Daphnia pulex: one gene and its partner. The protein of the gene in region 1 purifies or fractionates together with the protein of each later gene. This does not show direct contact. Links are inferred from orthologs where the notes say so. Each region holds a gene or a part of one and is shown on either strand. Other genes may lie near its edges.

Region 1 (4,201 bases):
CCATATAAAAAAAAGTCGAATTTATGATGACACTCACGCAAAATATGTTTGGCCGTCATTCCCTGTTCGGAGAAAGTATCTTTCATTGCCGTGATGTGGGCCGGGTAGATGTACGCCTGTCTGTCCACCAGAGGTTGAGGCGCCGAAAAAGAAGAAAACGCTGTGCTGTTGCTTTGCGTTTGTCCTTCGAACAGCTCGAGCGAACTCAACTCGGTCCTGCGGTATTTTTCGTTGTAATAAGAGTAGACGATCCAATTCTCGGCGTAGACTACATGGTAAGGCGACTGAACGCGGCGATGAGAAGTGGAAAATACCACAGCTCCAGAGACGACGTCAATCAAATAAAGATTGAAATAGCCACGATGGTGCGGGTGATTCGTTCCGGCAGTCGCCACCACCACCATGTTAGGGTTAAGGTATTTGTAGAGAACGCTTCGATCGGCCAATACGCGGCCTTGAGAAAAGACCTGGATAAATGCATTAAAATGTTAAATCAGAAATACCAAGAACAAATCGTTAACTATCGTTTTATTATACCTTCTCTTCTGGGTGACGAGAGACGATGGAAACGATTTCTTCCTCCACCACGTCATTCGATGAGCAAAGTTGTAACTGCCAAACAGGGGCAGAAGAGAGATGGTCAGCCGTGCTTTTGGCAAGCGAGTAACCACGTAGCACGCAGCTCTTTGTGTCGGCTACAAACACGAACAAGTTGTCGGACATTTTTACTACGTGGCTTAGCGCTGATTCGGTCGGTGGAAACACGTGTGGAACAGCAGATTCATCGAGAAGCAGCAACGGTTTAATGTACTCGGTTTCTTCATTCTGAGGTAAAAGTAAAGCCTGCTGCACATTGAAGCCCAGGTTGACGTAGCCTTCGCTACCAAAGTTTCCTGGTTCACCAGTTATTGGATGAAAGACGAACAAAATGCCTTGTTTGGAAGTGGAACTCTTGGCCAAAATGGTACACTGAGGCTCCAGTGGGTAGTGAATGCTGGTGCGCTGGACGTACAGGCGAAGTTTTTCAGTGTTGACATTCTTCAGCAATCGCTGCCAAACGATCCGGCCAGACAATGTGTCCATGGCGAACAATTTACCCGGTCGAGTGACGATGAGGATCAATTTATGCAAGCCAAAGCGATCACGTTCAAGCGCTCTGTTGTTACTTCCGACAGCATCACGACGAACAAAATTGATCTGTCCGGCCATGAGCTGTTGGGCAATTATCAAGAGTTGCCTAAACTGGGAACTCAGCCGTCTGATGGTGTGTCCAAAGATGCCGCCCAATACCTGATCTGAACCGAATTCTTCTTCGATGGACGCTTCAATGGAAGAAACAGGAAGATCGACTATTTCCACTTGAATGATGGAAGTCAAAGATTCTTCGCGACTCCAATAAACTTCTTTCTTGCTACCTGTAGTGTGAGAAAATTCATGTAAAAGGTGCTGTGTTTTTACAAGTAATATGGTTCATACCGTAATGAAAGGAATCATCGGTGGTACCAATGGCGTAGCGATAACTGAGATCTCCGTTGGCTTTTCTCATTAGAAAAGTGGAAAGCAGATTAGCTTCGCCCACCTCTTCCGGTAGCTTTACCGTCCCACTGACATCTTCAAGCATACTGTCGGCTTCCAAATCGTAAATTCTGATTAAATAATCTTTTTCTTGTTTCACCAAGCCGGACATGTATCTCTGTTGAGCTTCAGCGTCTTTAACTGATGGGACGCTCACCAGTACTGTTTCACTGGGCCATTCAGCGCCGATTCTTTGGAGTCCCTCGTCAGTTACTTTGTACACGGAAAGTGTGTCTGTCGTCCTCAACGACACGAGATTCCTGCTGACGCTGCTGAAAACGGCCGATTGGCCAGCACCTACAGCAACGCCAAGGTCCGAAAACTGAATCCGTTGATGAGAATCGGAGTTCCTCACATCTACGACGTTGACGGCGTCGTCGTGAGGATGTAGGCACACCAAGTGAGGAAACACCAGCTGGCAATCAGTTCCGGGAGTGAACCACGGCAACTCAATGGTTGGTGAAACATTCTCTGTTCCACTGTTGGAGCTATACTCAGTTAAGAGTAGCTCATAGCCAGACTTGGAAGGGTTGATTTCAACCGATACTATATCACGTGTTGAAGCAGCCCATTTGCTGACAATAGGTTGGCTCTCCTTGGCGACAGTTGCTTCCCACTGAAGAATTCCCGAGGACATATCAAACACTCTCACAGTAGTTGGAGAACTGCTGATGGATGCTACTTTTCCGTTATTTAATACAAAAAGAGAAGAGATTTTGCTCTTCGGTCCATTTCCAAGTAGATGGCGCCATTCAATCTTTCCTAAAAAATAATTTTTCAGGTCATGCATTCTCATCAAATTATGAAATATGGAAGAAATACCTGTCCCAGCATGAAGGAGAGCAAGCACATTTTCTTCTGTTCCTACAACTATTTTCTTTCCTGTTGAATCAAAAATTGCATGGCTGACTTTTCCTATATACTGCTGGCGCCTACACAAAAAATCATGAAAAAAAACGTTAGATTTCGTCTAATTAAAAAAATTTCGATAAGAAGCCTCTCACGTACCAATCAAATTTCCCAATCTGGTCTTCATACAGACCGTTGATTGTTTGTATAAGAATAAATACTATAAATAATGACGAAAAATAGGTTTTCATTTCGAAAACCTGCAAATTTATTTTAAGTTAACAAATTCGTTTTCGTGAATGTCAAAGAACAGACGGAAATACGGAAGCGAATGGAAAATTGACAGGACCGGCTATACAGTAATTGAAGGTTAGGCTAAACAGTAGTTTTCAGTTCGGCCGCTCGGTTCAATCGAGTCGTCGTCTGTCTAGCTGTTTTCTTGAGTTCTTCACTTCTTGTTCTTGTGTGCATCATTCATTTCCCCTAAAGAAAATCACTTACAAATGGTAGATACTTTAAATCTTAGAAAACTATAATGAGCTTGTGTATTACTTTGTTTGTTTTTTACAGCTTTTTAAATCACATACACAATAAATTTGGAGTAGTCTACAGCCGAATCCAGCAGGTAAAATTTTTGCATTGTCAGATAAGAAAAGATTTCCAATAGAAATTCGAGTCATTTATAGAAGTGTTTTTGTCCATGAAGGTAAGGCTTTGGCATTTCGACTGTACGTCCCACCAATCAGTCATATTTCGATAAGTCTTCGAGGAAACTGTGGAATCGTGAAGTAAATCACACAACCGACACATTCCCTCCCTGGTATCGTCGGAGCCTACACTGGCATAGTGCTTTTTCCACCAGAAATATTCGTTATACAGGATGTCGTTTCCATCTAGCAAAGTCAGATAATCGGCCAGCTCCCGGACGGACTGATAATCGGCTGCATTAATGTAAGAGTGTGGGGGAGCCATTCGTGCGTGGTGGCCGTGTAGATCAAAGACGATCGGAATTATGTGGTAGCGCATCTGATCGAAAAACTTTTCCGTGACATAATCTTCGCACAGTGTGTTTTCCAGTGAGAGGTAGAATTTGTAATCACGCTCCAGCATTTGACGACACAATTCGGGATTTGAACGAGAACAACTCATATTACCGCACTGCCCATAGATGTCGACATCAATGAAAGTTTTCAGTCGATCGACGTATTCGTTTCGAGCGCTCAAAGATTTGCAGTTGGAGACGAACCAAGCCACCTTTCTGGTTTTTCCAGTTGCGTAATTGACTGCTGAATCGAGATGGGTTTCCTGCAATAGTCGTGGTAATGTCTTTAGATCGAATTGTGACGAGTCAAAAATAACGGCTTGATTAGCGGACTTGAACCAGCCATACGGATTGAAAATATCCGAATCTCTGCGGTACGTCATTGTGCGATTGAAAAAGTTTGCCATTGATTTAGTGTCCACAAATCTCCATGCAGATGACTCCATACTTAAGAAGATGTAGTGCTGATGTGGCCACCTTTTCATGGGCACATCGTTTGGCGTCCAACCGTGTTGATGAAAGACGATAGCATCGTAATATTTTAACGTATCCCAATCGACAATACGCTCGCGGTTGAATATGTCGCATTGGTATGGACAGTGTGAAAGGCGAAGGGCTTGACTGTCGGATGAAATACCAGCTGGTCCTTGTCCAACTCCGACTCTGATGCGATTTTGTCCTTTACGCAATGTGTAGTGTTCATACCAGAATAGAATCTTTTTCACAGGCTCCTGA
Region 2 (2,999 bases), on another chromosome or scaffold:
ATCGTTTTGCCACCTACGTACGCAGATAACGCTCAGGCTCTCTGACAATGCTTTTCCGATTCGCACGGCGCCTTTCAGTAACAAGTGTCGAGAGTTTGAACATTTCAAATAAACCGTGAAATTTTTTTTCAGCATTTGGTTGGGGGCGTTGCTTCGCACACAACACTCTTGCTAGCACAATTAACAATAACTCAAGTTTTCAAGTTAAGCCCAATGGCGTCAGAATACTACAAGCGAAGACGAGGGTTGAAGTGTCTGACGGCTTACGCAGCTGGTGGTATAAATAAAAGTCACTCACCAGAATATGAGGATGACAAATTATTATATGGATGTGGAAAGGTTCGACAGCCTTAGACGAAAAAGCTACCGAATGGGAGGTACTGGAATTCTATTAGAAAAAAAATATGAATAAAGCAAAGTTATGCAATGTTAATTTTATTCAAGTTGTTTTACCAAATATGACAGGATCCACCGAAGAATAACGCCCTGCACTCTTCTCGCCACCAAGCATTGTGGATGCTTGGAAAAAAAGACCGATCCTCAGCAGCGAAACGTAGACTCCCTACTCCCTAGGTAACTAGAAGTCTAGAACAAATAAATAAATTGGCATTAGGTTAAGGTTACACAAAATAACGAATAATACAACAATACAATGTATAAACAAAGTTTTCAATAAAAGTGTATATTTCCCCCTCATTTTCCAAATAATGAATTAAAATTATAAAGATGTGATCCTTGGAAGAATAGCAAAAAAATTACTATAACTTGTTCGAAAGGTTGTTGGTAGAGAAAAAATTACACATTGATGTGTTCAACTTTGCATATTTAGAGTTATATAAGATGAACTATAAACTATACCAGGCATTTTTTATGTCATAACTAGTATTGAAAACAACATAGCACGGTAGACATTTGCATTCACAAACCAATGGTGACATTGGAGGATGCTAATTCTCGCTCCATGCAATTCAAAAGCTGCTGAACAAGTTTAAAACTGATTATACAGTCTAAAATTAATTTACAACTGAGAGAAAAAAGGTTTAAAACTCAACCCTAGAATTGAAAACTATTTTGTTACCTCAGCTTCTGCTTGCCATTAACATCAAATGTTAAAGATATTATATAGCCACTATAGGCGACCACGTGGTTGCTGTAAACGAGGTACAATTTTCTGTAAATTGTGTCCTCTTTCAGATTATTTTCTTCGACATTTTACATTAATACTTTGCTACAACATACTTGACATCAAGAATTTACGTCGAATTATCAACGTCATTTGGACAAATATACTTCAGCACAGTGAGCACACGTTCACACAATAGAACAACGAAATTACAACAGATCAAATTCCTCCTCCTCGTTCTTTGTTTCGAAAAAAAACTGAACGAAAACAAATGACGATAAGTTTTATGCTAATAAGCAAAGCAGAGTTGTCAAGTTGAAATTCCCGCAAATGTTACCGATATCGATATACAAAAATTCGATATATCTATCGTGTTACACGTCAGCTTTCGTGCCGGATTTGTATACTTGTAAAACCTGTGTAAAACTTGCCTCTTTCAATCTATTTAACTCATATTTAGCTACCATGAATCACGTTAGTTTTTTCGTTTTATTGTTGGTCGGATTCACAAATGCCTATTACATGACGATAGACGCTCATGCTGAAGAATGGTAAATATCAAAATTGTGATTTGAGCTGTACATTTTGTGATCTATTTTTTCAATATGTTCTGACACTAATTTTTGTGTATGTTGTATTTGATTCAGCTTCTTTGAAAAGGTTTCAGCAGGAACAAAATTAGGTACAAGAGTTTTTAAAAGTTTTCAATTGAGCAGCAATTCTAATTACAATTTTCTGGAACACAGGTCTTACATTTGAAGTAGCAGAAGGTGGATTTTTGGACATTGACTTCAATATTGTTGGTCCCAATGGTCAGACGATTGAGTCTGGTGAACGTGTGAGCAATGGAAAGTATGCCTTCAAAGCAGACATGGACGGAGTGTACACTTACTGCTTTTCCAACAAAATGTCTACAATGACTCCCAAGATTGTCATGTTTACCATTGACGTTGGAGAGCCTACTGCTGAACTTCACCCAGATGCAGCCAGTATGAGGATTCATTTCTTACAATTATCCTTGCACATTCTGTACTAATCATTATTTTCCCAATGCAGATGGAAATCATACCAAGCTGGAAGAAATGATCAAAGAACTCTCAGGCGCCCTGCGAACAGTGAAACACGAGCAGGATTACATGAATCTGCGTGAACGCGTTCACAGGACCATCAACGAAAGCACAAATTCGCGAGTTGTGATGTGGTCATTTTTCGAGGCCTTTGTCCTTTTGACCATGACTGCCGGTCAGGTGTATTATCTCAAGAGGTTTTTCGAAGTCAGACGAGTGGTTTGATCAATTGAGAATGTCCATCCAAAATAAATTTGTGACTCTTGTGTAAGTGAATAAGGTTTAAATAAACATGAATTTCAACCATCATTATCATTGATTTAAATTCAACGCATATTGTTGCTGGTATTGATATCGTGTATTGTATATGCATGTCAACAATCAACATTGGTATACAGCAAGAGTAAGTGAACTTACTACATCATCTACCAGCTTTCCAAACACTCAAATGGACCGAAGATGATTATTATAGTGAATGAGCTATTAAGAAATGACTACAATCTCAAGCCCCATCGGTAATCTTCGTTCATTTTTATCTAAACACTGATAAAGAAGTGAAAATTTCGAAAAAATGCATTCACAATAATGTTTTCGGCTTTTTCTGGCTTTTCTTTTTTTTTTTTTTTAATTTTAAGTTACGATGATGACTCCTTCACAGATATTTAATAAATCTAGTATGCGTGGTTCTTGATGAACAAGTCGTAAGCGGCAGCAGCTCCCACGCAAGTTCCAGCGACGTATTTGCCCTGAGCGGCTTCACCGTTGGCCTGAATATATTCGTATCAAAGGGTTTTAACATTCCATATTTC

Evidence for each region.
Region 2: the proteins of ER membrane protein complex subunit 1-like (region 1) and transmembrane emp24 domain-containing protein 2-like purify together in Homo sapiens (affinity purification with mass spectrometry; 3 studies listed by BioGRID and IntAct, with this or other methods). This does not show direct contact. The link is inferred for Daphnia pulex from reciprocal best matches to the Homo sapiens genes EMC1 and TMED2.

What each region holds. Positions count from the first base shown.
Region 1 is NC_060018.1:527,823-532,023, reverse strand, and holds the start of ER membrane protein complex subunit 1-like, read right to left. Parts: upstream 2,801-4,201; 5' UTR 2,676-2,800; coding exon 2,584-2,675; intron 2,508-2,583; coding exon 2,398-2,507; intron 2,338-2,397; coding exon 1,477-2,337; intron 1,416-1,476; coding exon 538-1,415; intron 468-537; coding exon 38-467; intron 1-37. Other genes in the region: alpha-(1,3)-fucosyltransferase C-like, read right to left, coding at 3,067-4,201. UniProt on the Homo sapiens protein: Part of the endoplasmic reticulum membrane protein complex (EMC) that enables the energy-independent insertion into endoplasmic reticulum membranes of newly synthesized membrane proteins.
Region 2 is NC_060024.1:13,238,504-13,241,502, forward strand, and holds transmembrane emp24 domain-containing protein 2-like, read left to right. Parts: upstream 1-1,496; 5' UTR 1,497-1,588; coding exon 1,589-1,674; intron 1,675-1,770; coding exon 1,771-1,805; intron 1,806-1,869; coding exon 1,870-2,112; intron 2,113-2,179; coding exon 2,180-2,415; 3' UTR 2,416-2,499; downstream 2,500-2,999. Other genes in the region: fructose-bisphosphate aldolase-like, read right to left, coding at 2,862-2,957. UniProt on the Homo sapiens protein: Involved in vesicular protein trafficking. Mainly functions in the early secretory pathway but also in post-Golgi membranes.